Linked DNA regions of Lepisosteus oculatus. The protein of the gene in region 1 interacts with the protein of each later gene in a pairwise test. Links are inferred from orthologs where the notes say so. Each region holds a gene or a part of one and is shown in the gene's direction. Other genes may lie near its edges.

Region 1 (7,136 bases):
TAAACACAATCGTCAATTTTAGTTTTTAATCCTAAAAAGTTTAAAACTCTACTGCTGCATTCTTCCAGGGCAAATTATAATCCTTTTTTTACATAAATGACGTTTCTGTTCGTTAGTTTAGTGGCACAATCAACTGGTTTCAGATGGTTATATTTTTAAAGAAAATGCATTTAATTACAATCCGCGGTTTGAATTCAGAAATTGTTAATCTACACCGCAAAACACTGCCGAGTCACGTCATCTGCCTGCTGTACATACACGGAGGTTTATATGGGGCTGCTAGTGCCGAAGGACGTGATCTTCTATTTGGTAATATTTTTAAAGTTTTTTTGTATCATTTACTCCCGTCTGTCTGATTTCTGTTTTGTGTTGTTACGCAAAATACCGATAAAAGGACACAGATCTGAACAAATTGCCAGATTTAAGAAATGAATCCTACTAACAACTTGACGTGGTTCTCCACGTTTGCAATTTCTACTACTAGTTTCTACAAAGAATAAATTGCATTTACAAGTCTCAAAATCACGATGAAATAGTTTATTGCACCTTACCTGCTGCTTAACGCAGGTATTAAACTGATTCTTGCAACAGACGAGAATACCGTCACTATGGAAACGCAATGCAACCTAGTGTACAGTTAACTGTGCAATTTACACATTAGCGTGTCAAAATCGTGTCGGTAATCTAACATGAATAATACGATTACGCATTATTTCTGTTACCTTTTGTGTCTAAATATGTATGTGAATTCGGTTTAAAATGTTCTATTCACTCTTCACACACACCAAGAAGGCACAAAACAACGCAAACCTCGCAGTGACGTCACTGCAAGGCTTGTAAGATCTCTGCGTTCCTCGCGATATTACGTTAACAAACCTGCCTTTCTTCCTACCCGAATTCCTGAGAGTTATTTCACATATCTATGGTAGCGACACGCGATTGTCCAGACGTCCCGGAAAACTCGCAGTCCCTCAGGATGTAGCCAATCGCAGACGTCCCTCCTCTGAAACCACACCTTCTGCCCCCGCCCAAAAGGGGCGTGTCAATAAACGGATTCGGGTGGGAATAAATGATATTCCGTGGCCCGAGATTTTCTTGAAAGTATTAACATATTATGAACTATATGAGTATCGGTTTCACCAATGTTTCCGATTTCACCATTTATTAGGAAACAGAAACAATTTCACAAAGTTCAGTACCAATGCCATACAGTCACGCACGACTGCATGTCGAGATTAGTTAGTGTTGTGAAAAGGCACTTATCAATTTTTCTATGCATGCATGTGGAAATTTTTTTCCCCAGTACGTATCAATTATATTTTGTTCTAGTTGCTTCTGGAATTGGGAAGCAATTTTCTCCCAACATTTTGGTATTTAATTATTCCCCAAGCCCTGCCTGCCTCAGTGCTGGAAAAGTACTGTTTGTGTCACCAGTGGACCTGCAGAAAGTTAGTTTCCAAATATACAGCATAACTCCCCCATCGAATAAAAGCGGATTTATTAAGAAATAGAAAAAATGACTACATTTAACATTGTTGTGCACCGTTGACACGCAAGAGGAGCAAACAACAGTCTCAGCAGATTGACAAATAACTGTCCCGCACAGAGCGCGCGGGGGCTGCGGTTTGCACACGTGTTTGAGTTCCCTCCTTTGATAGGCCGCTGTAGTCCGTCAATCACATTCCTCTAGCCAATTACCTCTCGGGGTGGAGGGATGGGGCGGGCCATCGCCATTCCGTACTCTCCTATTGGTTGAATTCCAGGGAAGTTTCGCTTTACTTAGCCGCCGCTGTGTATTTCAAACCGTCTCGAGCCCGCATGTAAAAGTAAGATTGCACCCAGAGGGTTGCAGGAACGCAATACAAATATTTCTTAAGATTAAAGGGGGGTATCAAAACACTGTTCCATCATAATAATAGGATATTTATGAAAACAAGATTGCTGCCCAACATACAGGTAAGGTTACGAGCCTTTCAGCTACCCTGCTTTTAACGGCTTCTGACCGCTTTTGTATTTCATTTATCCACGTTTTTAAAACAAGTGTGCGCGACAGCTAGTTTTAAAATGACAACGCACAAGACGCCGCTTGGCCGTGCGAGTACGGGGTGCTGAGGCTGTCCCTCTGGCGCCTACTTCCGCAGCGTCTTGTTTAGCAGTTTCCCCACAAACCTCGGCTGAGAAAGCGTCTTATGTAGCGAGTCTGTTTCTGCGACTAGAGGTTGTTCAGTAATAATGGAGGCTGCACAACCCTCCGTATCTCAAGCCATAAATTGAAATCCATCCCAAATAACCAAGCGATTCACCGAGTAATGCTCGTCAATATCAACGAGTGGCTGTTCAGCCTGCCGTTCTTGCCCGGCTGCCGAAACCAGCGGTGTGAGGGGTCTCGTTCAGGCGGTTCTGGCAGAAACCAGGGTACCGGCTGCAATTACAGGGGTGTGCATCTTGCTCCAGACTCCCAGACAGTCCTCTCCTGTGAAGAAGTGCACTTTCTCTCCGTTCCCACTCGTACCTTCATGCTCATCTCTTCTAGGGCGGCCTTCCCTGCCTGTTTTTAAAGCAGATGCACCCGTGGCGCGAGATGAATTATTAAATTGGTGCAATTAAGTCGTTAGCTAGCAGACGGTTAGGTCATCAAGAGTGGAGTTGGAACAAGGATCTGTAGAAACGTCGGCCACCATAAGAGCAGTATTGGACAGCCTTGACCCAGCTGTCTTTCTCAACCCATTTCGGAGAGGCAGTATTTATAAGAGGGTTTGTAATACCGTTACCAAAACTATATATAATATTCTAAATACGGTTTTATGAATGCAATATATAATTATATTGATCTTAGAGTAGAACAAAATAAAAAAAGAAAGAATTAAAGTAACAGCTGAAGTAAGGGAAATATGCTAAGATTATACCATAATGTAATAGAAGATTCATGTTTGAATTTTATTCACATGCTGTTCTTCATGTGCACTGCATTAAAGCCAGGTGCAAGCTTTATGTATGTTTGGTTCCCAGCCATCCTGGTTTTCTTTCCAGATGAGCTCAACAGCCGATGAATTAGTTGATCTGCTTTCTTGTTTAGACTTGTATCTTGTTTCATAGGTTGGTTTTGCATGTTAGTTACACCCTATGTACTCTGTTTCCAATACTTCAACACACAGAACTTTATGCTGCCTCTTCTTATTTCTGACTAAACAGCTCTAATTTATCGATCACCTGATGATCAACAGACACAGGTGGGAATTACACTATCAGACTCGCCCACAGGTGAGAAGGACACTATCAGACATATACTGGGCATGACATTGCATCAGATATATCCATTGTTGGATTGCCTCTTTATTGAACATCCCCCCAATGGGCGTGGTCACTGTATCAGACACCCCCACAACACCAGTTTTTTCCCTCTGCAGTTCATAACAGTTCAGGCAGCACACCTGAATGATGGCTGTTCTAAAATTCAGAAACAGGCACTGGTTACATTTGACCTTTTCTGATTTGAAAGTAAATTTACAAACATGCCACAAACCAAAAAGTGAAATCAACTAGCCTGTAGAGTGAAGCAAAACCCAAGAAGACTGATGCTCCAGGACCGGGGCTGCAAACCAGTGGCCTAGAAAGCAGGGCAGTTCAGCATGAGGCTCAGTCCAGTCCAGTCCAGTCCAGTCCAGTATACTGCACTCCATGTCAGGTTTCTCTCCAGCCAGCTGTTTAAGGATGTGATTGACAATCATCAGTAAAACAGCTGAGGTGCTGGTTAGTCTGAAGGACTGCAGTGGAGTGGATTGACATTTTCAGTTGAATTTGAAAGATCATGACCTGTATCTGTTCTTGTTGGCTTACATCACCCATTGTGGCAGACGTCTGAAAGAAGGGACATGCTCTTTATCAGCCTTAACTTCACAGTAGGGGTTGACAACCCAGGTCCCAGTGTGCCATGAGTCTGACTGGGTTCCATTTCAAAGTCATTAAGGCCTTAATGACTTCCTTAAGTGTATAAGAAGCCCAGTCAGCTGTATTTTCCAGGTGTTAAGTGAAAGATTACTTTCAAACCTGCAGGAACCTGAAACTGCAGGACCAGCTTTGGGCTGTGTGGGCTCAGTGAAAATAGGTCGTTTTTCATGCTTTGTTTGTATTTGTAGTACCTTGTGAAGAAGACTAGACTCCGTATCCCACAGGCATGGCTCATCAGAGCTCGGGTAAGTTAATAAAAAGGACTGTGTCACCTTGAGAACATTTTTCTCTTCCATACACGTATCTGAAAACCAAAATGTTGTAGCAAAACAACTACACTATAAGGGCATGTAAAATAGTGGACTGCAGTACAAAATGCAGCACTCAATACTATTGTTTACCTGAGGGGACTTCTCTCCATCATTAGAAAGCTGCTGATTCTGTTCCGTGCTGCGAATGCCACACGTTACACTTGCAGACACAGACGTTACAACGTAGACACGCGTGTTGTTCATGCAGACACATACGATCCACACACAGATGCGTACGTGATACACACAGACACACGTTAGCCCATCCTGCCTGCCTTTGGAAGGAGGAAGGATACCACAGCATGCGGAGAAAGTTGTTAAGTTTAAGAATCCTTTCTTTTTCTTACAGGTCAAGAAGTGGACAATGAGCAGGTCAGATATTGGTTTATCCCGTGAATAAAATGAGGGAAGGCAGCAGCTGGACGGTGAGGCTGCTCCTGAGCTGACAGTGCTTGCTCTCTGCTCCCATTCAGAGCTCCTGCCGGGGGGCAGTCACCTGTAACCTGACGCCCGGCCCGGCCGGGTGAGGCTGCAGTAGGAAGGAGGGGAGGGGGGCGGCCGCTGCAGACGCAGACAGAGCACCCCGCCGCGGCTTCAGGAGACAGGGCAGCGGCCGGGGAGTCCTGGAGAGAAAAGAGCTGGGCAGGGGCTTCACAGGGCTGGTCCTGTGAGGCGCGGCGGGTCGGAGGATGAGCGCGTTACAGCAGAAGGACAGGACCTATGTTTATGTGTGGACCTGCAGCCAGTTTCAGGTACAGGACGCGCCCCAAGCACAGCTCCAGGGATTTCCTTAACGTTCCCCTGGGATTGAGCACTGGGAAGCAGTTTCTCCCTTTTCTGTGGATCGAAAGGTCATGCCTTTCAGGGTGTAAGCGGATCCTGTTCCCTTACAATGATGAACTGAAGGGAAACCGGTTTATTTTGTTGTTACCGAGCCTTGCTCCGGGAACGTTTTCACTGTGTGTGGGAGAGCCGTCCTGCTTTCTTCATGGACCCTCGTCATTTAGACCTGCGCTCGGTCTGACCCGATTTCGGATTTCCTGTGTGTGCGTGTGGTAAGAGGTGTCGATGTTGGCGTGCCCACAGCTGCGCGGCTCCCCGTTCTGATTGATTTCCTGAGCGGCTGTTTTCTCCGCACTGTGCAGCAGGAGCAGCTGGAATGGGAGGCAGTGAACCGGATACTCCAGCACCACGGGTTCAAGCCCATTCACTTCGCAGACCCCATGGAAAACAAGAACCTATCAGGTGCGGCACAGTCGTGCGGGTCGATGCAATGTCTGCATCATCCTGCAAAATCGTTAACGGAGCCTCTCGTCATATGGGAATGGGAACTGTTTTAGCAGGTGCATGACTGTTTGGCATAAAATATCGAATGGTTCCGTGCTCATTTGTGTCTTTCGTTTATACATTTCTGGACTGACACAAGGTTTTAAGTATGCTTTTGTTGTTTGATGCTCATGTTCAGATATGTGAACCCAGATTGCTTTATAAATTGATTTCAGATTTGAGGTCACGGAGCCTATACACTAAAGAAGCGAGAAGTGTGAAGCTTCAGAAAGAGGCTGTGTTGTAATTTTGTCTGGCATGTGCGTAGTGCTTACACAGTGCCTGGCTGAAATGCAATAGTATCGAGGCAGAGTTAAAAATGATAATATGTAATACAATTACTTCTGTAGCTTAGTAATGCAGCTCAGTTTTGTAATCACAAAGATCAGTGTATTTTTTATTTTTTGGTATCATTAAGCTCATTCATTGTCTCACGTGGCTCAGCTGTGCTGCTCAGCTGCGATACAAACATGACCGCTATTGTTTGCTTCTGTTATTATTCCACTGTTACTATGGTACCTCAAGGAGCTCCGTGTTTCTAAGGTTTTGCATTGTTTTCTGCACCTGGAGCTTGAATTAACAACCTCCCTGCTCCATCTAGACATCCTAAACCCCCTGTGGCTTCGGAGTCACCTGGCCTTTGCAGGGGTTTACTGTCAAACCCCACCTCTTGTGTTCCAAGAATCCTTCATCTCCATCTCTGTCAATTGCGTGTTGCATGAAGAAGCTATTCTCATGTTTAATTTGACATTTCTTCTCTTTCAGATCTGGTTCTGTTGGAGAAAAGGTCTGCTTCCGAAGTGAGGCTGGCTCTGAAGACACTGTTAAAGGACACCGAGAGGAGACAGGCCTTGATCCAGGAGCTGATTCAGACTAACAATCAGCTGAAGTAATTCCCATTCTCATTTCTCTTTGACTTCAGCGCAGGTTTCCGTTCTGTACCCACATTGGCTGAGAGTGTTTATAATGAGACATCAGCGCCCTCACCCCCAAACACTTGGGGTTTAGTAAAGGAGGACAAAACCTGTATTTGAGTATCTGAATTGGATTCAAATCAAGGGATTCCAGGGGTTAAACTATATCATGACCCAGCGCAGACCTATTTTTAAATCTGTGTCCATTTGTCCTCAACACCACACTATAGAAACGACATACGTGGGTCTGGAGGTGCCAGACATTCTGAAAAGTTAGTTTTTGAAAACCAACATATTGCCAACACCATGAATAAATGAAATCTCTTTGCACTGGGGAAGAAGGAAGCCCATGAAGTAGGACCACAGTTTCAAACGTTACTCTGAAAGCAGACACAGAACTCCCAGCAAAGACTCTGGTCTGTATAAAGGAAGGTGACTGGAGGCTTCTGGGAGTCTTGCCTTTTAAAGGCCTGTGCTTTGAATGCAGGACGGGAATGGCGATTGTATTTTAGCTGTGTGGGGAAAATCCCACTGGATGTCAAGTCCGGTCCCTGAGCCGCTCGGCCTTCGGGCACGGAGGTGAGAGGGTACTTGTTGGAATCCCAGCGAGCACTGGGGCCGGGAGCCGAGTGAGCAC
Region 2 (7,903 bases), about 490 kb from region 1:
CAGTTAATTGCTACGTTCACTGGCAGTCCTAGTGATTACAGTTATAAACACCTGTACTCTGCCCACGGTGCTCACTCCTCCAGGAAACCGGAGCTATTTTGTCCCCGACAGTGTGGCCCTACTCCTGAGCGGGCCTGTGCAGACGTATCCCTGCAACATCGACGAAGGCTTTGAAAACAACAGACCTCAAGAATCGACAACTGTGCATGAAACACAAGCACAGGGTCTTGGTGCAGGATCGCGAGAGTTAACCAAGCAACAACGACACGTTGAGGTCTCAACGACTGCAGACAACACAGCCGGGTCCAGCTGTTCTGCTTTATTATGGTAACAAAACACAATTCGTATTTACATTCGAGTGAAAGAGAAAACAAACAATACAAATACGGGGCAGCCTTCTTCCTCTCTGCTGGAATGGGTGCGGGGGCTGGGGGAGAGGGAGAGGGAGTTTCAGTCCACGTACTTCCCCAGGATATCTCCATCACGGAACAGGAAGTAATCCTGAAAACAGAAACACACATTCCAGTGAGCGCGCCGCCCAGAGACTCGGCCCCTGACCTCCTCCCAGGACTGCAGCTGCGCGGGGACACACCTTGTCATCCAGCGTCACTTTCGTACCCCCGTACTCGGGCAGCAGGACCTTCTCCCCCACCTTGACGCCGACCGGCTGCAGCTGACCACTCTGTTGGCCAGAGAGAGAGAGAGAGACGGACAGACGCTGACTTTATGTTCGCTCGGTGTCCACACGGCCTGCTGCGGACTCCTCTCGGGATTAAAATCAGAAAGGCAGGGGAGTATCGGCATCTCCAGCCCACTCTGTTGCACTGATGCACAGGCAGATAGACCGCTTTAGAGCTTAACACACGAGGGCATCCAGCCTGCAGTCCCTCAGGCTACCTTCAGATCTCCGCCCATCTCCAAAAGCTCAAGACCCAGCTGTAGTTCACCTCTTCAAGCTGTCCAAGATTTAAAGAGGCCTAGGAAACCGGTCATCTAGTACACCTCAAGAACTGTACCCCCCCCAATCTCGTCTATTAGAACCCAGCTGCGACACATTTTAACACTGCGACAGGTGCCCTGTAACAGAGGGGGTGGCGTCAGTGGTGCACAACAGCGCGAGCTGCAGCATGCCTCTTCCCCACATCCCATAATGCCCTGGGGCCCCTCCTGTAGACAAGTGCCTAATGGGAATTAGGAATGTACATAAAAAAACACGCTTAAAAAAATGTGAGTTTACTCAACTGGTTGTAAACACAAAATACCTAACAATTTGATTAAAAGGTCATCCACTATGTCATTTTTCCTCAGTCTTTTTCTTTTGACATTTTTTTTAAAAAAAGCAGTTTATCCTTCTGAAGCGAAGCAGCGCTACTTTCATGCGTGCGGACCGGGACCGCCCCAGCAGGACCCCCGAAATCACCTTGTTGACACTCCCGGGCCCCACCGCCACCACGGTGGCCTGCAGCACCTTCCCCTGCGACTTCTCGGGCAGCATGATCCCGCCCTTGGAGACGGTCTCCGCGGCCAAGCGCTCCACCAGCACGCGGTCAAACATCGGGAGGAACTTCCTGAACGCCTGAGGGTCCGAGAGAGAGGGGGGGAGAGATGAGACTAGCGCCATTCCCAGAAATAACACATCCAATCGCAGAATTCCCACTCCCACAGGAATCAGAAAAGGGAAGAAACTCAAGAGAGCTGCAACACAGTGTGTGATCTGATGACATTGAGCCTGTCTCTCAATAATAATAATAATAATAATAATAATAATAATAATAATACAGTGTGTGATCTCCTGTCCCAGCCTGAGGAGCAGACACTGTCTCTCAATATTATTATTATTATTATTATTATTATTGAGAGACAGGCTCACTGTCTGTTCCTCAGGCTTGGACAGATCACTCAGATCACTCACTGTATTAATAATAATAATAAAAATAATTATACAGTGTGTGATCTCCAGTTCCAGCCTGAGGAACAGACAGTGAGCCCGTCTCTCAATAATAATAATAATAATAATAATAATAATAATAAATAGTGTGTGATCTCCTGTCCCAGCCTGAGGAACAGACAGTGAGCCTGTCTCTCAATAAAGTTTTATATGTTTAATGCAAATGTCCAATAATTAATGTCTGCAAATGGTATGTTAATTGTATCTGGTTTGGCAACACTAATTCACTGGTCACACCACTGATGCCCTGCGACTCCGAGAGAGAAGAGAGGCAGGAGAGAGAGCATCCTCGTCCCGAGTGGGAAAGCAACGAGCGCAGGCCACTCTGACCCCAAGGGCGGAAGTCCTGCTGTCCTGCCACCAGGGGGCAGAGCACACTCCCTCTCCCCCAGAGGCCCAGGGCATGGAGGGAAGTCCTGCACGTGTTCACGCCTTTACTTCACTGCGAGCGGTACATCTGGGTGGCGAAGCAGAGAGATGCCCAGGAGGAGGAGCAGAAACATCGAGTTGCTCAGCTACTCCTCCGAAGGTGCCGACGCAGAGGTGTGAACAACAGGTTAAAAACGAGGATGAAACCACGATCTGGGCATCACGGGTGCCGAGACCCGCGACAACAACAGCTTTGTCACTCGCGATGAGTCGGCAGAAGGAGCCGAGGAATTCGGGAGCAAAGACAGGGGAAGGAGCCGGCTGAGGAATGTCGCAGAGCGCCCGAGGTCTCGCAGCTCAGACAGATAAAGCGGCGTGTGATCAGGGATCCACGAGGTCCTGTCCCTGGCCCGCGCGGAGGAGGAGGAGGAGGAGGAGGGCTGTGCGCGCGACCTTGGATCAAGGTCACTTCAAGGGCACGGACAACAGCGGAGCAGGGGGGAGGGGCGCCCCGTCTGCCAACAGCCTGTGAGCTCTGTAGGGAATTAATTCCCAACGCGTGGTCAAGGCAGCCAGACAGGAAGCATCGTTAATGATTGCCGTCAGCAGAGCACAGGGCAGGGAACATTGATCCTGCCAGAGACACGGGCCTCCCCCTCCTCTCCTGCACACTAGCACCTCATCCCAGAAGTGCAATGGGGTCACCAAGGCGACATGCACCTTCAGATGCAAATTGCACCACTGGAACTGGCAAGTCGTGTTTTAGTAAAAATCACAGGTTTTAAAAATGTCCACCCAGAAAGTTCTGCCCCTCTCCGGGGGTGTTAAGACTTAGCCCAGCCTCAGACTTTCTGTGCTGCGTGAGAGCACATCTGGTTAACTAATTACTTGATTGAAGAGATCATCGTAACTCCCTGTAACTACTGGAGACTGGGAAGGCTTCAATTAAAGGCCTAGATGTGCGACTATCTCGGAAAGAGCAAGGAGGTCACTTCCGAGACGAGCGGGACCTCCAAAACGCCGAGTTCACGTTTCATATCTGCCCCGGATGTGATTGAAGATAAACCGGAGCCACAGTTTGTTCTTCCGTGTAGCAACTTGCGTGATTACAAGGGCACGCGTGCCGAGCCGGCTGACACACGTACGGCAGCTATCAAGAAGACTTTTAAACACACGCATTTACAAAGAATGAACAAAAAAAAACGTATTTATTCACAAAATTAAGTTCCCTTTTTTAAAAATTGTGTTCTTAAAGCCATCTTTGAGAGCAACACTTCTATTTAGACGTCTGTCGATGGTCTACGGGGTTCACACATGCATGCGTTTTACAGGGACGTAACAACTAAACGCCTCCGCCGAGGAAGCAGAGGGCGGACTTTAAAGGCCGGATTCTGTCAGGTCACCTAGGAAGGAACACGGAAAATAATCCAAAAGGAAAACGTTAATGCCAAAGGCAAGACAGCCCGCCGGGTTGCTCACTAGCACCGGTCTGAGGGCCCCGACCTTGACCCCCGGGTCTCTGTCGGTTCGGTAAAGCCCGAATTCCGTCTCCGGTGTCGCCGGAGTCCCCCGCCCGCCCGCCCGCCGGCCCAGTCCGTGCGGCTGCAGGTGTTAAAAACCTGCGACCGCGCCGATCCTATCGTCAGTATGGAGCAGTATCCCCACCTCTGCGCCCAGTGAGAGCCCGCTTTATACCAAGTGTCCAAGGGACCTGCTTTTACAGCGCGCTCACCAGCGTGCTGCTCAGCTTACACGGAGTAGAAAGTACTAGAGAAGGCGCATCGGAGCTTCTGATCTGGATATCCAGACATTTTAAAATTGCTCCATTGCAGGCCGCCCTACGGCACGGCCTGCGTACGGAGCAGAGAGTCTTACCATGCCGACGTGTCTCTATGAACGTTTCTACACACAGCAGCGTGGTTCCACCGCGACCCTCCTGTGTCCTGCGCTCGGGGCTTCTCCACGCGTGAGACTTGGCTTTCTCTCACACACCAGAATCGCCGCCCCACGTGAAGAAATACGGGCGCCCGACAGCGCATGCGCGCCCCCCCCGAGCCGGTTCCTCCCCCTGTCCCGGGTTCCAGAGCCTTCTGGAACCTTCCCGACACGATCCCCCGCGCGCCCTGCAGCCAGCGCGCAAACCGACAGCCGCCCCCGCCTCCTGTGAGTGCATACAGCGGAATTACTGCTTCATACACGGGTGCAATGTGTTTCAAAGCGATGCATTTGGCAGCAGAGCGTGCATCTCCGCCCCCCCCGCCATTGCATCAAAATTACACAACATTCACCTTCGACCCCTCGAACTTTTTTTCCTCCTCCAATGGCGTCCGAGAAGTTTCTGGAAATCGCCTGCCCCGGAACGAGCATGGAGGTTCCCCCCCCTGGCGCGCTCTATCCCACCTGCGTTTAAAGTTACGTTCCCGGAGCCGTGTAACGCGACGGGCGGGCCCCAATGAGGTGTGTGTGTGTGGGGGGGTCTTCACCGCCACAGTCTTGCGCGCCCCCCCCCAGCGGGGCGAGTGTGTGCAGTTATACAGGTTTCGGGGCGGCCCCCAGCGTTACCCGGATGGAGATGCCCATGTGCGCCGCTCAGAGGCCGGAGAGGAGGCGCTTTTAGGCAGCAGCGCAGCTCGCCGTCTTACTTCTTCTGACAGAGCCCACTGCGCGGCGGTCGTCTGTTCCCTCCTGACCTCATCCCATCCACCCCGACAGTAAGTACCCGGGCTCCCCTTCCTCGCTCGCTCGCCGCTGGAGCACGGTTCCGCACGCCGCTCCTGGGGAGCCTGTTCAGTCTCTGCCGTGACGGAGCGGAGCGCTACAGCTCGGTTCGAGCCGACTGAAGGCGGCGGGCGGGCGTGCGTGCGTGCCTGCTCGCGTGTCTGCAGCGGTGGTTCGCTCGGCTGTGGCCGTGAACCTCCTCATTTCGTGTGGGCCTGCCCTTGGCCGCTTCGGGTGTAACTCGTCCGCTTTTCTGTGCCTATTTGTGTTTTCCACTTTACACCCCGAGGTGAGGGATTGGGGGTGGCTCGTTTGTCCTTCTGTAGTTTTCCGGCTGGACTGGACATGAATGATGAGCGCTTGCATCTGTAACGGACGCTGTGGAGGGGGGAGAGATTCTGCTGTCTGCCCGCTGCTGCGCTGCACATCTCGAATATCGCCCAGCACGGCGTTAAGCGCCTGCCGCGTGAAACGGGCGAGCCGAGCGGTTCTGCGGAACCGTGTAGTGCTGTGAGAGCTCCAGTCTGTTCTCGTCAGCGTCTGACTGAACCTCGCCATCCCAGTCAGAGACGGCTACGTCTCTACTGCTAGAAGGATAATGAACTGCATGTATTCGGAGAAGTCGGGGGGTTTTATGTTGGAATTAACGTTTTCAAAGATTGCGCTTTGTTAAGGAGGTTATTGTACTCTTCTCATTAAGACAGTCAACTTAAAAACACATCACTGGATAGTGATTAGTCGTAAGCTCTGCTACGTCTTGCGCTGTCCAGATAGTAGCTTCCACCGCGAGCAGGGATGTCCTCGTGAGCGGGGGGCGCCGATGAAGCTCAGTTCTAGCGAGCTCCGCGTGCGCCGCTGCGCACCGGCACGCTCTCGACGCAGCCACGGCTTTGACCTTGTGGTGCGTGACCCCCGCACGCACGCACGCGGGCGGAAGGACGGACCTTCATGCCGAAAAGACGCCGTGAAAGATTAGGCGCTGTCACAAGACTGAGGGGTGGTTTGTAGTGCGTTTACTTGAAGTGGATTTGATTGTTGTTGTTTTTTTTTTGGCTTCTTGTCTGTAAACAGTTAGGACCCCCCCCACACGGTCTTTATAAAGAACAGTTCTGCGTTCCGAGCCGCCCTATCCCCCACATCGACTTCTAGCTTTTAAAATTACACCTGCTGAAAGTGTAATTACACAGTAAAATAAGAGGGCGTCGGGTCTGTCCTGGCGCAGGAGGCGCTCAAGGAGTCGTGGTTGAGTAATCTGCGGCCCGCTTCGAGCCTATTACCCCGGTCGTGCATTTACAGTGCATTGGCCTTGTGTGCCTTCACGGTTAAGAGCTCTGATAATCCGGCAGTCGCCACACAGCTGTCTAATCGCCACAGATTCCCTTCTCCCGGCGGTGGGTTTTCGAGGGAAGGCCGTGTCCTTACAGGTACGACCTTGGCCCTGCGTGTCCGGGGTGTTAGTGCTGAAGCAGGCCCCTGCGCCTGCTCAGGCTGTGTTGCCATGGAGACAGGCCGGGCAGGGTGAGCTTGCAGTGCAGCCCCGCGCCGTGGCAGAAGTGGGGTGAGCGTGCGCGTCTCGGGGTACACAGCTGGGGTCTGGAGCCGGAACAGGTCCAGGCCAAGGCGCCCCCCCCCCTGTTGCTCCTTGGAAAGCAAGATCCGCGGGATCGCCGTCTGTCCGCCGCTCAGGCCCGTCTCTGCTGCACCCCTGCAGGAAATGCTGCGCTTGCCCACCGTGATGAGACGGATGCGCCCGGCGTGCCGAGCGCTGGCGCCCCACCTGACGCGCTGCTACGCCAAGGACGTGAAGTTCGGCGCCGACGCCCGCGCCCTCATGCTGCAGGGCGTCGACCTGCTGGCTGACGCCGTCGCCGTCACCATGGGGCCCAAGGTAGGGGTGGGAAGAGGAGAGGGGGCGGGTAGGACACCTGGTGGGAGAGGGGGGGGTAGGACACCTTGTGGGAGAGGAGCAGGGGGGTAGGACACCTGGTGGGGGGTGCAGGGAGAGGAGCAGGGGGTGGGGACACCTGGCAGGAGAGGGGTCGCAAGAGGAGAGGGGGCGGGTAGGACACCTGGTGGGGGAGGAGGGGGGTAGGACACCTTGTGGGGGGGGCAGGGAGAGGAGCAGGGGGTGGGGACACCTGGCAGGAGAGGGGTCGGAAGAGGAGGAGGAGGGGGTGGGACACCTGGTGTGTGTGCGTGTGTGTGTGTGATACGCATTGTTTGGCAGTGACGCGTGTACACGTTTGTGTGCAGCAGGAAATGTGTAGCGGTGGGTTGTTTGTGTATGGATTGTGGGTTTGAAGCATGTTGTGCAGAGATGGATGCCTGAGGCCTGAGATTCTGTCCTGGTTCGAGCGCCTTGTGCCTTCGTGCAGGGTCGCACGGTCATCATCGAGCAGAGCTGGGGGAGCCCCAAGGTCACCAAGGACGGGGTGACGGTGGCCAAAAGCATCGACCTGAAGGACAAGTACAAGAACATCGGCGCCAAGCTGGTGCAGGACGTTGCCAACAACACCAACGAGGAGGCCGGCGACGGCACCACCACCGCCACCGTGCTGGCCCGCGCCATCGCCAAGGAGGGCTTCGACACCATCAGCAAAGGCGCCAACCCCGTGGAGATCCGGCGCGGGGTCATGCTGGCCGTGGACACGGTCATCACCGAGCTCAAGAAGCTCTCCAAGCCCGTCACCACGCCCGAGGAGATCGCCCAGGTAAGGCCTTGCGTGAGGGAAGGGGTGCGCCTCGTTGCCCCCAGGGTAAAAGGGAGGGGTACCCCGCTTGACGGCCCTCTCTCTCTCTTTCCTGGCCTTCTTTCAGGTGGCCACCATCTCTGCCAACGGGGACAGCGAGATCGGCAACATCATCTCC
Region 3 (7,621 bases), on another chromosome or scaffold:
CGCCTTTAAGTATAGAATGGCTACCTGCCTGCATTACACTACATCAGCACGTCCTGATCAACTGATCATTGTGCGGTGGCTAAGGATCTGCACCTGTGGCTGGAAGGTTGCCGGTTCATATCCTATAGCTAGCAGAGGAATCCTACTCTGTTGGGCCCCTGAGCAAGGCCCTTAACCCCAACTGCTCCAGGGGTGCTGTATAAATGGCTGACCCTTTGCTCTGACCTTTCTCTCTCTTTCTGTGTCTCATGGAGTTGAGGTATTATATTCCTAATATAAGAAATTGTATATGGCTGATAAAGTGATCTTATCTTATCTTATCAAGCCCAGGGACCTCACAGGCTGCCCTCCTGGCAGACTAATCCAGAAGGACAACACACATCCTCTGGCTCCTTAGCTAACAATGGTTTTCTTGTAAGATAAGGTGACACATGTGCTATGAATGCTGTATTTACCCCAGAACTTTAGGACTAGAATGAAGGAAGGGAGTGTCTGGGTGATCGTGGGGAGAAACCAGACATAACAAGTGGGGACTACATGAGGAACAGTCCCTCCTTCCTTTGTCCTTTCTGTTTGCTGTCTGTTCCCCTGTTCCACGACTGGTTCAGCCTGCTCAGGGTCCCCACACAATCCAATGTGTCGACGCTGATCATGTTGTAATTGATGGGTGTCGAGCCAAACAGTGTGTCGTTCAATTGGAATGTTGTTTGTCACTGGAGACCCTGAATAACGAGAGGGGAGCAGAGACAAAGGAGAAAAACACAACAAACCCTGACAGAAATACTGGCTGTTACATAAAGTAAACATACCCCCCAACCCACTGTCGTACAACCACTTTTTTTGTCACCCCATGACACCTACACATTGTTGAAATCAGAGATCACTGAATTCATGCTGAAAGTTTGCTCTCCCTGCAAACATTCAATGACATTCTATTCAGCTGTCATACTTCTGCATTTCAGTACAAATTACATTTTTGCATCTAACGCACAAAAACGGTTTTTAAGTGAACAGAACAAACACTCGTATTACTTTTTCAATACAGTTTAGCAATGCTTAAAGGCCATTTACATTTTAGGTATCCTGAGAGTTAACGTGATTTAAACTAATCAAAGTACGAAACCATAACATAGACTGTACTGAGCCGCATTAAAAATGGTTGAGATTTTAAAAATGCATTACAAAAACTGGTTACAAAACTAATATGCTATGCTTTGAATGCCTCTCAGTTTAGTTTGTCTGGATACGTCCAACTGTGAAGGGTAAATAAATCTATTGTTAACTGTGGTAAAGGAGATTATACAGGATATTTATTTAACAATTGCAGGAAGCAATCATCTTTAATTTACCTTGGTGATGAATGAACTATCTTCGTCAGGCCGGTATCTGAGTATGGTATACTATGAGCGCCATCTTGTGTTCAAAAGTAGTTAATATTTTTCCTTGAAGATCTGTTCATTTTTGATATTATTCCTCTGGAACCTAAGATCCATGAGGGGTGGCATGGTGGCGCAGTGGTGGCACTGGGGCCCTGGGTTCAATTCATGGGGTGCTATCTGCATGGAGTTTTTGTGTTCTGCTTGTGTTCGAATGAGTTTGTCCTGGGTTTTCTACCACAGTGCAAAGACATACTGGTATGTTAATTGGCCTCTGGGAAAAGTGTTCTTGATGTGAGTGTGTACATGTTTGTGTTTGTGTCTGTCTGCTCTGTGATAGACTGGTTCTGTAGATGGATGAAGATCTGTGATACCAGTGAAAGGTAGTTAGGTGGGAGTTGGGGTAGCTGCTGAAGCAGTCAAAGCCATATTATGTGGGGTAGATGTTTGTAGATGTTTGACTGTAATACATAAATAATTCCTTAGTGAACACTATACTGAGAAATTAGGAACCACACAGACTGCAGGACAGCGCTCCCTACTGGTCCCACTAACATGTCTTCCAGCAGCACCTTAATTTTTTTAGCTTAGACTGTAATTTAGGGGTTTATACAGTATGTAGAACCTTGTTGAGGAATTGGTGGGGAATGGTATTTTTAATTTTTTTTAAGTGCTGTGTCATATCAAATAAAAAACGTGGTCTTGAGAACATTTGTGTATGAGTGTATTTACTATGGTTATTGAAAAATCAAAACAAATTAAAGAATAGAGCCTGTAAAAACAAGGTAGCATTGCTTTTGTCTTAATATGCCAGCAGCCATATCATGCTGTAACTCACATCTAGCAACCCACTGAAGCTCAGCAGGTGTGATCCTGGTCAGAACTTGGACGGGAGACCTCCTGGGACAAAATAAGGTTTCTGCAGGAAGTGTTAGTGGGGCCAGCAGGAGGTTCTCACCCTCCTGTCTGTGTGGGTCCAAATGCCCCAGTATAGTGATGGGATGCTATACTGTAAAAAAGACTGTGCAGAAAGAGGGGAGAGTGAGTTGCTCTCTAAACAGGAAAGGAAAGACAAGTCTTGCAGGAGACTGGGTTAACACTGGAAAACACCAGTCTGTGTTTTCTTTGGATGATCAAGTGTCAGGGCTAGAACCGTCCGCTGTGGAATGTTCTACTGCACAGAAGCCAGCAAACAACGTTCTACCACTCGAGACAGAGACTGCCACACAGCCACCAGCTCCACAGCAACAGCCCTCTACAACTGAAGGAACCAGACTTGAAACTGAATCTTGGCTTCGTGCACCTCCACCTGGCTTCCACGATATGCCTGAGACTGAAGAGCCCATTAAGAGGAGGGCAACTGCTCTGAGGCTACAGCAGGCACAGTGTTTTTTTTGCCCCAGACCAATGATGATATGCCTCTCCAAGAATGCACGTCTGTCTGCAGTACCAACCATCTGCCTGTCTCACCTCCTACACCTGTTGGCATCAGAGACACAGACAGCACACAGAGTCGCTCTGTGTCCTCAGACAAGCTCTGCCAGATATTGGGGAGCCCGGATGTCATTTCTGAGCCACCTGTCTCACAGCAGCAGGAACGCAGGCAGGACACGAAACACATCTTGTCTCCAGATAACAATGGCCTCACTACCGTTTATCACTTCTCAGCTACAAGATTGGACAGTGTCAACTCATCTGGGAGCTCACCTGGAGCTAGTGGGCACTGATTTGGGCCAGAGGAGCATCACTCCCGGTAACCCAGTGCTGCTTAAGAAAACCAGGCCAGCTCTTGTGGTGGCCAGCTAGCTGCCTGTGGTGATTTGGCTTCACATGAGGGTACCCTTTAGGGAACCTGGTTGAAAAGGGCCAACCAGTGACCGGCTTGATACCCCAGAAAGAAGGAAACTGGACTGATCGTGGGTTCTGATTTTTCTCATTCCGATTACAACATGTTTATAATTGGTACTTTTGTTATGTTTTAACAAGTTTTGTATTGTTGTAACATTTTTATGTCCTAACGTTTTTGTTTGTTTTGCATGTAGTGTGATACACTATAGTTCTGTTGTTGTTTTGTTTCACTTTATAGGAACTGTTTTAGTTATTTGGTTATTATTCAATATCCTTTTAACATGTGTTTTCTTGTTTTAACAACTTTAATAACAACTAATAACTTTGCTGTCATTTAAGTTGCCTCACTGTTACAAAGTTCAATATTTAGTGGAGGACATGGCAAATAATTGTTTTGCTTTTATTACTAGATTATTTTAGTTTTACCTAACCTGATATGGTTCTGTTTACAATGTTTTTGTGTTTAGAATCATAAACATGGTTAGTTTACACAGAGCATAGCTTGTGTCTCAGGTCTGCTAGTTTAGTGTTGCTATTTAAATGTTAGTACACAACTGCAGCTTTAATGATAATATGTTCGTGAAGAGACTCGGGTTTGTAGCAGCATTGCTTTCCATTCACTGTTGACAAGGAACACATGCCCAGCATTGTCTAGGTTAAAGGTAACTTTGACTGTTTTCCTTTACTTACAGCTTTACCTGGGACCAAATCTAAATCCTTTTATGTCTTAGTCACTTCAAACAAAAGTCACTTTGAAGTAGAGGAAAAGTAACAGATTTTCTCACTTTTATATTAATGTTTAACAACAATATCTGCACCTTTGTTGCAACTTAAAGGCTGTAAGGCACTAGTACCAACTGCCTCCTGCCAGGCATGCAGTACCTGATCTAATAGTTAGAAATTGTGTGCTTAGTACATATGTAGGGTTAAATTTCATGGGAGTCTGTGATACTATGTGTACACAACACAAACACATGTTCACACAAACATACAAAAGTGAAAGTGGGAAAATCTGTGAATTACTAGCCTCGGATTTCAAAAACCCTACAGTTATCATTTTTACACCTATATCTGCATCTCGGCACAGGAAACATAATATATTACTCTGTAAATGTTAGCTTTGAAGAGACATTCTGAATGCATCATTTGTGTTGAGAGTTAACCTTTGTAATGTGTACGTCCCAAAAGAAAATACTACAATTACAAAACTACTGCTGTACTTTTGATCATTCTTAATAGGTAGCTATTAAATACTGTTTATACGCAATTTTGTATTTAAAAAAATCAATTAAATTTGCAATCTGTTCATGTAACAGATCAATAAGAAGGCGGGGGGAAACCATAAACAGAGATTTAGCTGCAGCCTTTCGTAATACCTGGAACAGAGGTGTTCTTGGGTTGAAGCTTACTTTCGGCATTGGGCGTTGGATGTGACGTGTACGACAAAACAAACGGACAAAGAAAGATAAAACGAAATTGCTTCATGGTATATGGCGTACAGAAATGTCACGAGACGTTGAAGACACATTGCCGGAAAGTTAAAAGTCAGGTTTCTTGGTGACGTGAAGTTATCTTTAAAAGGGAGAAAAGTGCAAGGGACGGGAGTGGTTTGAACTCATGGTAAGGTTTTTCTTTTCATCTCGTTTTATTTTCTTAGTATGGAGCAGCGTTGTGTGACATTTATCAATGTTTTTAGAGTAGTTACAATTTTTCATGGGGAGTTCTTTCTGTCTCTGAAAATGTCTTTTTTGTAAACCATTTTTAGTAAATGAAAGTACTTTCCATTTCCAACGAAAATCTCAATGCAAAGCAATGAATGAATTCATTTCAATGCAAAGAAAAACCAACGAGATTATTCTAATCTTTTTCACTGTGTCGGGCTATCACTAAATTGCATAAATCCTTTATATTGACGTATCCTTTACTGCACAACAGACTTCTGGCTATGCGGGCAAACGTAATTTGTTGATTATTCGAGTATTTTGGGCGTATCGATTCTAACTAGCATTGTAGTCTAAGTAGTTTGGCATAGGAAGGATTGTTTCTTATACATTAAGAAAAAAGGCTTCTAACACAATATTTGAGTAATATATTTATTTCCTTTCTGCTAAAGCTGTTTTGAGAGTCCTGGACCGTTTTGGCAAAGAAGCAAGCATTTGCCATTAATTCTTTACTCCAACGTCGTGTCCTCACAGCATGACCAAAAGAAACGCATAAAAGTTACTTTACTATTGAATGCGCAAACATTAAAATCTCATAATAATGATTGAAATGAAAGCCAGTGATTGAACACGGGATTCTTTCAGACTTGTGACGTAGCCTATTGTGTTCAGATTTGTTGTGTTTGTGTGTTATTGGTAGTGTCTCGAAGCCCAATTGTATGTTCAAAGGTTTTTTTAGCCCATGCAGTTGGATACGTCGTATTTCAACGTGTATTTTTTAGATTTTTTTAAATTCAAATAAAATTTTCCACGGGATTATCTTTATCTTATTTTAGCTTTTAAATATTTGCACGGCTAGATTTCCACATGGGGTTAACCCATTCAGCACTTCCTTGTTGTACTTCGTTTATATTTTGGGGATCAAATCATTTTAAAGCGAAATGCAGTCTTTGCCTAAATGCACAGCAGACATAAGGGGAAGCTTAGGCCCACTTTTTAAATCTTTTTGCTACAAAGAAATTAGTTTCCAGCGTTCTAAAATTGTAAGTGTTAAAGATGGAAATCTAGGCATCTAGTTAAATAAAAAGCAAACAAAATGTGAATTTACAGAACCAGCTTGAGGTCACAGGAAGTGTGGTAACTCTTAAAGAGTTCACATAAAGCTGTTAGTATTATATTAAATTCTGTTACATGATCTCCAAATAATTTTATATTATTTAACTGTTTTCCATAGAAAATGCATCCTGGAGCGCACATAATGTGCCCTTGTAATATCTGGAGTCAGGGCAACCAATATAATTATACAGTCTTTGAGCAGAATCTACATTTTAAATGAAGAAACAACAGAAGGGTACCAATCTACTCGCACAGCTTGAACGACTGTAACAGTTTCTTGCTTTCATTATCTAGTTGCTGAATGGACTTTCATGTCAAGGTCATATTCTACCAGGAAAAACAAATGTATTTTGCCTCTGAATGGAGAGGTATAAGCATGGTTATGTTTTGAAATCATTTAAAATTTCCCATTGGAATGGAAATATTTGGAGAATGACTCATTAAATCATTTATGAAGTCTTGACAGGCATAGTTATTTCATATTATTTTAATATTGGTTAATACACTGTATTGGTTTTTCCCTGTTGTTTAATTGTTTCATAATGAATATGGGCTAGTGGAGCCAATTGTGAAGCAGTTTAAGAAGCTCAATTTGTGCACTTTTGCATTTGTATTTGTAGTATTCAATATTAAATTACCATAACCTCAACCTGCTTTGATTTTAGTTCAGCTTTCCATGCTTGTTTTGTCTTTTAGGGAAATACCTAGAATGTAAATATTTGGCCTGGCTGACATCCATTCATGAGATACAACTCATCAAAGGTGATTCTTTTTTAACCCCAGAAGTTTTCCTTGACTTCAAAGTTTTTACAGTTGCGATCAAAACTGTTTACAGCACTTGGACTTTTTCACATTTTGATTTGTTACCATGTGGAATCATAATGTATTTAACTGGGATCTTTTGCCATTGACACTAAACACTGTATGTCAAAGTGAAACCCAAATTCTGTTGATCCTCCTAAATTAATGATAAAAATAAAACGGAAAATAACTGATTGCATAAGTATTCACCTCCCTTAAGTCAATATTTGAGAGAGGCACATTTGGCAGAAATCACAGCCGGGAGTCTTCTTGGATTAAATCTCCACCATCTTTCCACCCCTGGACATCAATTTCTGTCAATTTTTCTTTGCAAGTCTCCCAAGTCTCTGGTCTGTTGCAGACTGCAGAAGGTTTTTTTTCTGTGCTTTGCTACTTCCACTCTGCGTCATGTCTTCACAAGTATTCCAAACACTAACACAGTGAAGCTGCCACCACCATGCTTCACAGCAGGGAAAACGCTTCTCAGGATGATGTGTGGTGTTACGCTTGTGCCAAACATTGTGTTAAGTGTTAAGACTAAAGGGGTCAATTGTGGTCTTTTCAGACCGTAGAATCTTCTTTCTCTTGGTCATTGCATAATTCAGTTGAGAATTGTACTTTATAGATCCCCTCCTGTGTGGATTAAGTTGAATGCAATGTGTTAACTACCTTATTCGATGACACCTACAATCTCTAATTATTTTGTGGCAACTGGGTTTTGCAGAGAGAGAGAGGTTTAACTGGTTGTATTGCATTTATTTAGAAGGCAGCTTATCTCTTATTTGGCCCCTGTAGGCATTCAAATTTTAATACTTAGTT
Region 4 (7,384 bases), on another chromosome or scaffold:
CCGGGCTCAGGCTGGGGTTACAGTACCGGGCTCGGACTGGGGTTACAGTTTGGGGCTCTACAGAACCGGACTCGGGCTGGGGTTACAGTACCGGGCTGGGGTTAGAGTTTGGGGTTCTACAGTACCGGGCTCGGGCTGGGGTTACAGTACTGGGCTCGGGCTGGGGTTAGAGCTTGGGGCTCTACAGTACCGGGCTCAGGCTGGGGTTACAGTGTGGGGCTCTACAGAACCGGACTCGGGCTGTAGCGTGGCTTTCCAGAGCCCTGTTCTGCTCCGCTGGCCAGTCTGTGAGATCTGTGCCCTCCCCCCCCCCTGTGTTCGTCCGCAGGATGAAGCGGGCGAGCTCTCTCAACTTCCTCAACAAGACCGCCGAAGACCCTGCACAGGTTCGAGCTCGGAGCCGCCGGTCGGCACGTCTGCGTGCTTCTCAGTGTGTCCCTGCTGGCTTGGGGCCCAGTCGTCATCTGTGTGCGTCTGTGTGTGTGCGTGTCTGCGTGCCACTCAGTGTGTCCCTGCTGGCTTGGGGGCCAGTCGTTGTCTGTGTGCGCCTGTCGTCTGTGTACGTGTCTGCGTGCGCGTCTGCGTGCGCGTCAGGGTGGCATTCCATGCGTGAGTCAGTGCATTTTGCTGGGTGCCACTCTGTGTCTCTGTGTGTGTGTGCCAGTGTATCACTTCGGTTCAGTGCGTCTGTGCTGCCGTCTCTGTCAGTATCCATCGAATAATCTTACGGCTATTGTCTGATTTTGCAGCAGCCTAACGCTGGCCTATCGGAATCCAGGGGACTGAGCGCCAGCAACGTTGACCTCTCAAGACGCAGCTCTCTGATTGGATGAAGTTGAGCCCCGAAGTGGGGGGGGGGGGGTGGTGTTAAGGAAGGACCCCCCCCCTCCTCCCGTTCAGCACCAGGAGGGGCTGCCCTGTTTCCTGCCTGATTGGAAATTCCTGAGACATGCAAACCAAAATTCTGAGCGCATTTAATTTTTTGGGGGGGAGATAAGAATTTGCCTTTGCCACGAAGAAGCCTTTACTTTATCGCGGGGCGGGACAGGGTGTAGCGTACTCCAGCAGTTCAAGATGTTTGCTGAACTGGCCATCGGGGTGGGGGGTGGGGGGGTGAATAAACGAACTGTTCTCTAAATTAACAGAAATTATCCCGCATGCCGCTTTCCAAAGGGAGAGGTCGAGCGTCTTCGCCGGGAGCCCTCTGGTGGAAGGGGGGAGTCGGGACGCCCGGGGCGCCTCTTTGCCGTGGTGTGGCGGACCGGCCCCCCGGCGGACGCGCTCGGCCTCGCTCCTCTCAAGACTCTCGGCTCGCCCGAGGCATGCAGCTCTCGTGAATGCTCAGCGCCTGTTTCTGTAACTCGCCACGTTAGCGCAGGGCACGTCTAGGTGTAGAATATTCATCTTTACTGAAGGGGTGGGGCGCCGGGGGGTCAGGTCAGAAGTGTTGGGGGGGGGGGTTAGCGCTGGGGGGTCAGGTCAGAAGTGTTGGGGGGGGTTAGCGCTGGGGGGTCAGGTCAGAAGCGCTGGGGGGTCAGGTCAGAAGCGCTGGGGGGGGGTTCTGTGGGGAGGCCTCTGTCCGCTCTGGCTCTGTGTCTGTATATAAGGGTCTAAATTATTGGCTTACAGAGCTGGCTGACTGCTTCTCTCGCACAGAGCACAGGTGAAGTTTAGGGGCTACTGGCGCGGGGTCTGGCTATGGTGTTTGTGTGTGGGGGGGAGGGGGGGTGGTCCTGCTTCCTTCTGTCTGTGTGTGGATGGCTGGGGGTGCCAGGTGCCCTACACTTCTTTACTGATGGTAACTAATGGTCGAGCCCTGCTGTGAGGGTGCCAGTGTATGGCCGTGGCTGCTCATTTTATTCTGGCAGGGCAGTGTATCTCCATCATCTCTACATCACCTACACCCCCCACCAGCATTCTTCTATCCTTGAGGCTATGTCTAGTCACCGTGGCAACAAGGGATGGTGTCCTTGCATCCCTGTCATCAGGGAGGTGGTGATGGGAGAGTGTCTCTGTTACCATGGTGACCAAGGTGTCCAGGGGGGACTGTGCTGGGGGTCACACTGTACCGAGGTGTCCAGGGGGGTCAGGGCTGGGGGACACTCTGTACTGAGGTGTATAGTGGGGTCAGGGCTGCGGATTACACTGCACTGGGGTGTCCAGTGGGGTCAGTGCTGGGGGTCACACTGCCCTGAGGTGTCCAGTGGGGTCAGTGCTATGTGCTGACACTCACCGGTGATGGACACTGGACAAGGCTCATGCCTGCCGCCTGTATCCTGCTGTTTGTTGGCTCGTCTGCTCTGGCACCAACGCGCACCCCTGCACACTCGGGCTGCCCCCTGGTGGCCCAGAAGTGCACCCCTTCAGGTGGCACAATCGCATTGCATTGTTGACGAAGGGGATGCTGTGTACCCCCACTTTCCTTTCCACGTGCATGGTCTGCTGTGACTTGGTTCCTGCCCCACTGTCTGAACCCCACATTAGCAATGTGACCCTACAAATGACCAGTTTCACAAGGAGCTGTTTCTGGCAGCAGGGTAGAATAGAAAGTTGGGGAGACCTGTTACTGGGGGGCTGCCACTGGTGGATTGGAGGAGTGGGGACACCATAAGACGGGGGGGTGTGGGAGTAGTTTTAGAGAGCAGGGCTATAGGGTGTGTGTGGGGGTAGGTTTAGGGGGGCAGGGCAATAGAATACTTTGAGGAGGTAGTTTTAGGGGACAGAGATATAGGGTGTGTGAGGACCTGTGAGTCGTTATGATGTGGCCTGGGCTATAGGGGACGGGACTGGACTAGAGCCTGTGGCCTGGGCTATAGGGGACTGGACGGGACTAGAGCCTGTGGCCTGGGCTATAGGGGACGGGACGGGACTAGACCCTGTGGCCTGTGCTATAGGGGACGGGACGGGACTAGAGCCTGTGGCCTGTGCTATAGGGGACGGGACGGGACTAGAGCCTGTGGCCTGTGCTATAGGGGACGGGACGGGACTAGAGCCTGTGGCCTGTGCTATAGGGGACTGGACGGGGCTAGAGCCTGTGGCCTGTGCTATAGGGGACTGGACGGGACTAGAGCCTGTGGCCTGTGCTATAGGGGACGGGTATCTAGGCTGTGACTGGAGAGACGATCCTGCGAGAGAATGGAATATCATTTCTGTGTTACACTGGTAGGAATGTAGGGATACATTGTACTGTGAGTGGAGGGCCTGTAATATCCAAGCCACAATGTACGTTCGAATGAAAGATTCATTAAAAATCCACTTTTCCAAAACGACGCCCGAGTCCTGGCTCTTCTGTGTGTCCGTGCTTTTATTTCTGTGAGCTGTCTGCCCACCGGAGGGCGCTGGCGGCGGTGGAGTCTAGCAGAAGCACACCTCGGGAAAGCGGGAGAACCTGCAAACTCCACCGGGAAGGTACACGAGGTGGACTCGAACCCAGGACCCTCGGGCCGTGGGGCCGCGGCGCTGACTGGGTTGTTGTGTGCAGGGGGGTCCTCCGTTCTCTTCATTGTACGCAAAGAGGACACAAACCAAAGCACTTCACTGTCACTTACTTATCTACTGTAAGTAATTAGGAACAATAATAGGTTTATTCCAGGCTGAAGAGAGAAGAAAGAAAATGCAACGTTTCGGACGGGGAGCCTCCGTCAGGTGTGAGTTGCAACTAATAATTGCAAATGACTGCAGGGCCCTGGTTCCGTGTGCATGGGCAGGGGCATAACGTGGCTGCTCATTTTATTCTGGCAGGGTGCTGTATCAGGTTATTGCAGATCAGAGCACAAGTTTACGTTTTTGCCTTGTTATTTTTCAAATTATGACTGGAGTTGCATTTCCATCTTAGGATGGGTAAAGACCAGGGGGAAATCTGGCCAGGACGCTGGGGTAACACCCCTACTGTTCTCAAGAAACACCCTGGGATTGTTAATGACCAGAGAGTCAGGACCTCGGTTTTATGTCTCAGCTGAAGGATGGTGCCTTTTTTACAGTATAGTGTCCCCGTTCCTGTACTGGGGCCCCACACAGACCGCAGGGTGAGCACCCCCTACTGGTCCCACTCACACCTCTCCCAGCAGCAGCCTCAGCTCTCCCAGGAGTCTCCCCCTCCAGGTACTGGCCAGGCTCACCCTGCTGAGTTATTCCACACATAGTTCGTATGTGATGAGAAATTATGTTCATATATTAAATTCCACTTCAATAGAAAGTCAAGATCACCTAGATTTTCAAAGATTGGGAATCAGATGCCATTGATTATGTTTTTAAATATCATAATTTCCTCCAAGGCGTCCAATGCGAGCCCCAGCCTCTGGGCCGGAACCTCACCTATTCCTCGGACGCTGATTGGCTGGAGTGGCGATGGCGTCATTAGCCTGAGCCGCGGACACGTCGGTTGCGTACTTCCGTCGCCCCTGGGCCTTGTTGTGCTCAGCGGAGCAAGATGGCGGATTCAGCGAATGTGAGTAAATAACCGTGATGGTCCTCGATTATTTTTTTATGATTAAAAACTGTGTGCGGGACTTTTCTTTCTACCTTTCCAGAAACGTAAACCCTTCTTTGTCCCGTTCCTCCTAACAGATGGAGATCGTGGAGGGCTGTCGGCTGCCGGTTTTGAGGAAAAACCAGGAGAACGAGGACGAGTGGCGTGAGTAACGGGCAGCTGTCATGGCGGATACAATATTGACATTTAGAGCATTGTTTGCGCTCCTATATCTGATTTTAATACACTGTCAGCGGGAAATGCAACCTGAACCTGCGCGCTTGCCTCTGTAACGCGATGCTGTAGATGTTGCACTCTGGAGAAATGCGCTGCGGGAGCTCGCACTGAGTGCACCGGAGTAGACGCGCCCTCTGCGCTCTCGGGTGCGGGCGGTGCACGGCGCTGCTGTCCCGCCGCTGGAGGCGGGCTGATTATGTTGGATGCTTTTTATTCCGGCGTGGGTTGCAAGAAGAGCCACCTCGCAGCTGTGTGGACCTGGGTTCAGTTGCAGGCTGGTGCACCTTCTGTGTGGAGTGTGCACGGTCTCCCCCCCCCCCCCATGTGCTTATGGCTTTTCTCTGGGTGTCCTAGTCTCTTCACTCCTGCCATGCTGGGTGAGGAAACTGCTGCCTGTAATTGTCCCCCTGTAGGGGCTCCTGTCCAGGGTGGGCTGTTGGGGTCCTGCCTGGAGCCCCGAGTGGGCTGGGGTCCTGTCCGGGGAGGGGTCGTGGGGTCCTGCCTGGGATCGGGCAGCTCCCTGGCGCGGTGGGCGGAAGCTCTTGCTGGGTGCTGACACCTCTGCCTCTGTCCTCCTGGCAGCCCTGGCCGAGATCCTGAGCCTGAAGGAGATCAACAGCCGCAAGCTCTACTATGTTCACTACATCGACTGTGAGTACCGTTTCGCCCGTCGCCTGCTGGATGTACTACAGACTGTTAACGCCCTGTGTTCTTGAGAAATAACAAGACTGGTCACAGACGAGAGGAGCCAATCAGCCAATCTCTAGTTAGTCACTAATTGATCTCGGAATCTCATCCAGCTGTTTCTTGGTAGGAGCCAGAATACCTGTTTCAACAACAGGCTTGTTCCACTCCTCCACCAGGCTTTGTGTAAAGGAGTGCCTCCCGTTCTCGGTTTGAGATGCTCTTCCCTATAGCTTCTTCTGGTTTGCGTTTTCCCTGTTGGTTCTGAAAAAGCCCGCTGGGTCAGACAGATCCCTTTTTGGGGTCAGGGAACCCGCCGTGCACCCTGGACGTGATGTCGTTGTTCACCGGGAAAGCTCTGGTGTCTGGTTCCTGGGTCCGGACTGATCGCTTTTTCTTTTTCCCCTCAGTCAACAAGCGCCTGGACGAGTGGGTGACGCCCGACAGGCTGGACCTGAAGAAGCTCCAGTTCCCCAAAAAGGAGGCCAAGACGCCCACCAAGAACGGCCTGCCGGGCTCGCGGCCCAGCTCCCCGGAGAGAGACGTGGTAAGAGCTCACGGCTCCGAGCTGCTGGAGAGCGACTGACCCCCCCCCCCCAACGCCGCCGTTCTTTCTGAGCCTGAAGCTCGGCCCCAGTGAGCCTCAGACCGGACAGCCCCCGAGGACCACCGGTTCAGCACGGCTCCCTCTCGCTCCCAGGACCAGGCTGGGCTCGGCCTCTGGAAATCGTCTCCAATGCTGCCTTTTTCTCTAGCCTCCCCGGGAAGAAGGAACTCTGTCGGGATGGCTCCCGAAGTGACGCCGGGCTGTCCCATGCTCTTTCCTGTTCCTGCAGACCTGTGCTGGTGCTGATCTTCTAGATGTTGTGCATGTCGGTCTTCTGCTTGATTATTACAGCGTTGTGAACCCTCTTTTTTTACTGCATTTTTATGACTGCACAAAACCAGCCGTGCACCGGGGTGTGGCTGAGCTCACCTGGGTCCGGCCTCCGGGCCGCGGACCCGGCGCCGCTGAGCTCACCTGGGTCAGTGCAGCCGCAGAAATGCAGTAAGGACCACAGGCGCGCAGAGAAGGAGGTTGAACTGTCTTTCGCTGTCAATAACACCCTTTTCTATTCAAATTCAGAGGAAGAGTCTAGATCACAGCCTCCAAACGGTCACAGCTCCATCCAGAGGCAAAACTGTCCCCATTCCGGTACACCTTCACCCGTCTTCCGCAGGCACCGGGAGGGAGGAGCGAGGGGCGAGGGGAGATCGGAGATCGGTAGCGGGGCCACGTGAGACGGAATCGATCCGCTCGTGCCAGAACCCGGGAACGGAATCGGAGTCCGGATTTCCTGATCCGGTTTTCCCGTGGTCAAGCCGATAGACCGGTCCAGTCGCGCCCGAGCTACGTCAGTCAAACCCTTCTCCAAGGTTTCTAACTTCTGGGACCGCGGGAATCCTGAGTTGGATTTGGAGCAGCGCGGATATTGGGACCGGTTTGATCGGAGGGAGGGGCGCTGGGTTCTGGCACGCGGATGCGATCCGATCTCCTGCTCTGGACCTGCTGGACACTAGACCACTGCATTCTGGCAGTTGTCATCTCTGACCCGAGTCTCTCCCTTGTGTGACAGATGACCTGCCAGAAAGCTGTGGTCTGTCCGAGTCTGACGCAGTTCTTGAATGTAAATCTTTGTGTAAATACTCTAGAATGCTTTTCCTGCAGGTGTGTGTTATGTGATTGAACTGTACTTTTGCTTATAATACATTCACATAAATACACACTGTACTTCTACCCCCAGCACTGTCCCCACTGGACACCCCATTGCACTGTGACCCCCAGCACTGTCCCCACTGGACACCCCAGTGCAGTGAGACCCCCAGCACTGTCCCCACTGGACACCCCAGTGCAGTGAGACCCCCAGCACTGTCCCCACTGGACACCCCATTGCACTGTGACCCCCAGCACTGTCCCCACTGGACATCCCAGTGCAGTCTGACCCCCAGCACTGA

Evidence for each region.
Region 2: the proteins of cep70 (region 1) and hspd1 interact in binary tests that used the Homo sapiens proteins (3 or more experiments, as listed by UniProt). The two-hybrid records come from large-scale screens. The link is inferred for Lepisosteus oculatus from reciprocal best matches to the Homo sapiens genes CEP70 and HSPD1.
Region 3: the proteins of cep70 (region 1) and sh2d4a interact in binary tests that used the Homo sapiens proteins (3 or more experiments, as listed by UniProt). The link is inferred for Lepisosteus oculatus from reciprocal best matches to the Homo sapiens genes CEP70 and SH2D4A.
Region 4: the proteins of cep70 (region 1) and histone acetyltransferase KAT5 interact in binary tests that used the Homo sapiens proteins (3 or more experiments, as listed by UniProt). The link is inferred for Lepisosteus oculatus from reciprocal best matches to the Homo sapiens genes CEP70 and KAT5.

Annotation. Positions count from the first base shown.
Region 1 is NC_090707.1:6,583,099-6,590,234, reverse strand, and holds the start of cep70 (centrosomal protein of 70 kDa), read left to right. Parts: upstream 1-4,134; 5' UTR 4,135-4,174; coding exon of another isoform or gene 4,175-4,193; intron 4,194-4,608; coding exon of another isoform or gene 4,609-4,631; exon of another isoform or gene 4,632-4,660; coding exon of another isoform or gene 4,661-4,684; intron 4,685-4,732; 5' UTR 4,733-4,948; coding exon 4,949-5,011; intron 5,012-5,404; coding exon 5,405-5,504; intron 5,505-6,350; coding exon 6,351-6,474; intron 6,475-7,136.
Region 2 is NC_090707.1:7,078,080-7,085,982, reverse strand, and holds the start of hspd1 (60 kDa heat shock protein, mitochondrial), read left to right. Parts: upstream 1-4,893; 5' UTR 4,894-5,028; intron 5,029-6,023; exon of another isoform or gene 6,024-6,042; intron 6,043-6,746; 5' UTR 6,747-6,749; coding exon 6,750-6,923; intron 6,924-7,410; coding exon 7,411-7,746; intron 7,747-7,852; coding exon 7,853-7,903. Other genes in the region: hspe1 (10 kDa heat shock protein, mitochondrial), read right to left, coding at 451-501, 593-682, 1,421-1,576, 4,193-4,195. UniProt on the Homo sapiens protein: Chaperonin implicated in mitochondrial protein import and macromolecular assembly. Together with Hsp10, facilitates the correct folding of imported proteins.
Region 3 is NC_090698.1:26,585,985-26,593,605, reverse strand, and holds the start of sh2d4a (SH2 domain-containing protein 4A), read left to right. Parts: upstream 1-4,610; 5' UTR 4,611-4,844; intron 4,845-6,697; 5' UTR 6,698-6,763; intron 6,764-7,621. UniProt on the Homo sapiens protein: Inhibits estrogen-induced cell proliferation by competing with PLCG for binding to ESR1, blocking the effect of estrogen on PLCG and repressing estrogen-induced proliferation. May play a role in T-cell development and function.
Region 4 is NC_090713.1:22,611,302-22,618,685, forward strand, and holds the start of histone acetyltransferase KAT5, read left to right. Parts: upstream 1-4,374; 5' UTR 4,375-4,429; coding exon 4,430-4,447; intron 4,448-4,566; coding exon 4,567-4,633; intron 4,634-5,287; coding exon 5,288-5,356; intron 5,357-5,799; coding exon 5,800-5,936; intron 5,937-6,515; coding exon 6,516-6,584; intron 6,585-7,384. Other genes in the region: kinesin light chain 2, read left to right, coding at 329-386, 750-833. UniProt on the Homo sapiens protein: Catalytic subunit of the NuA4 histone acetyltransferase complex, a multiprotein complex involved in transcriptional activation of select genes principally by acetylation of nucleosomal histones H2A and H4.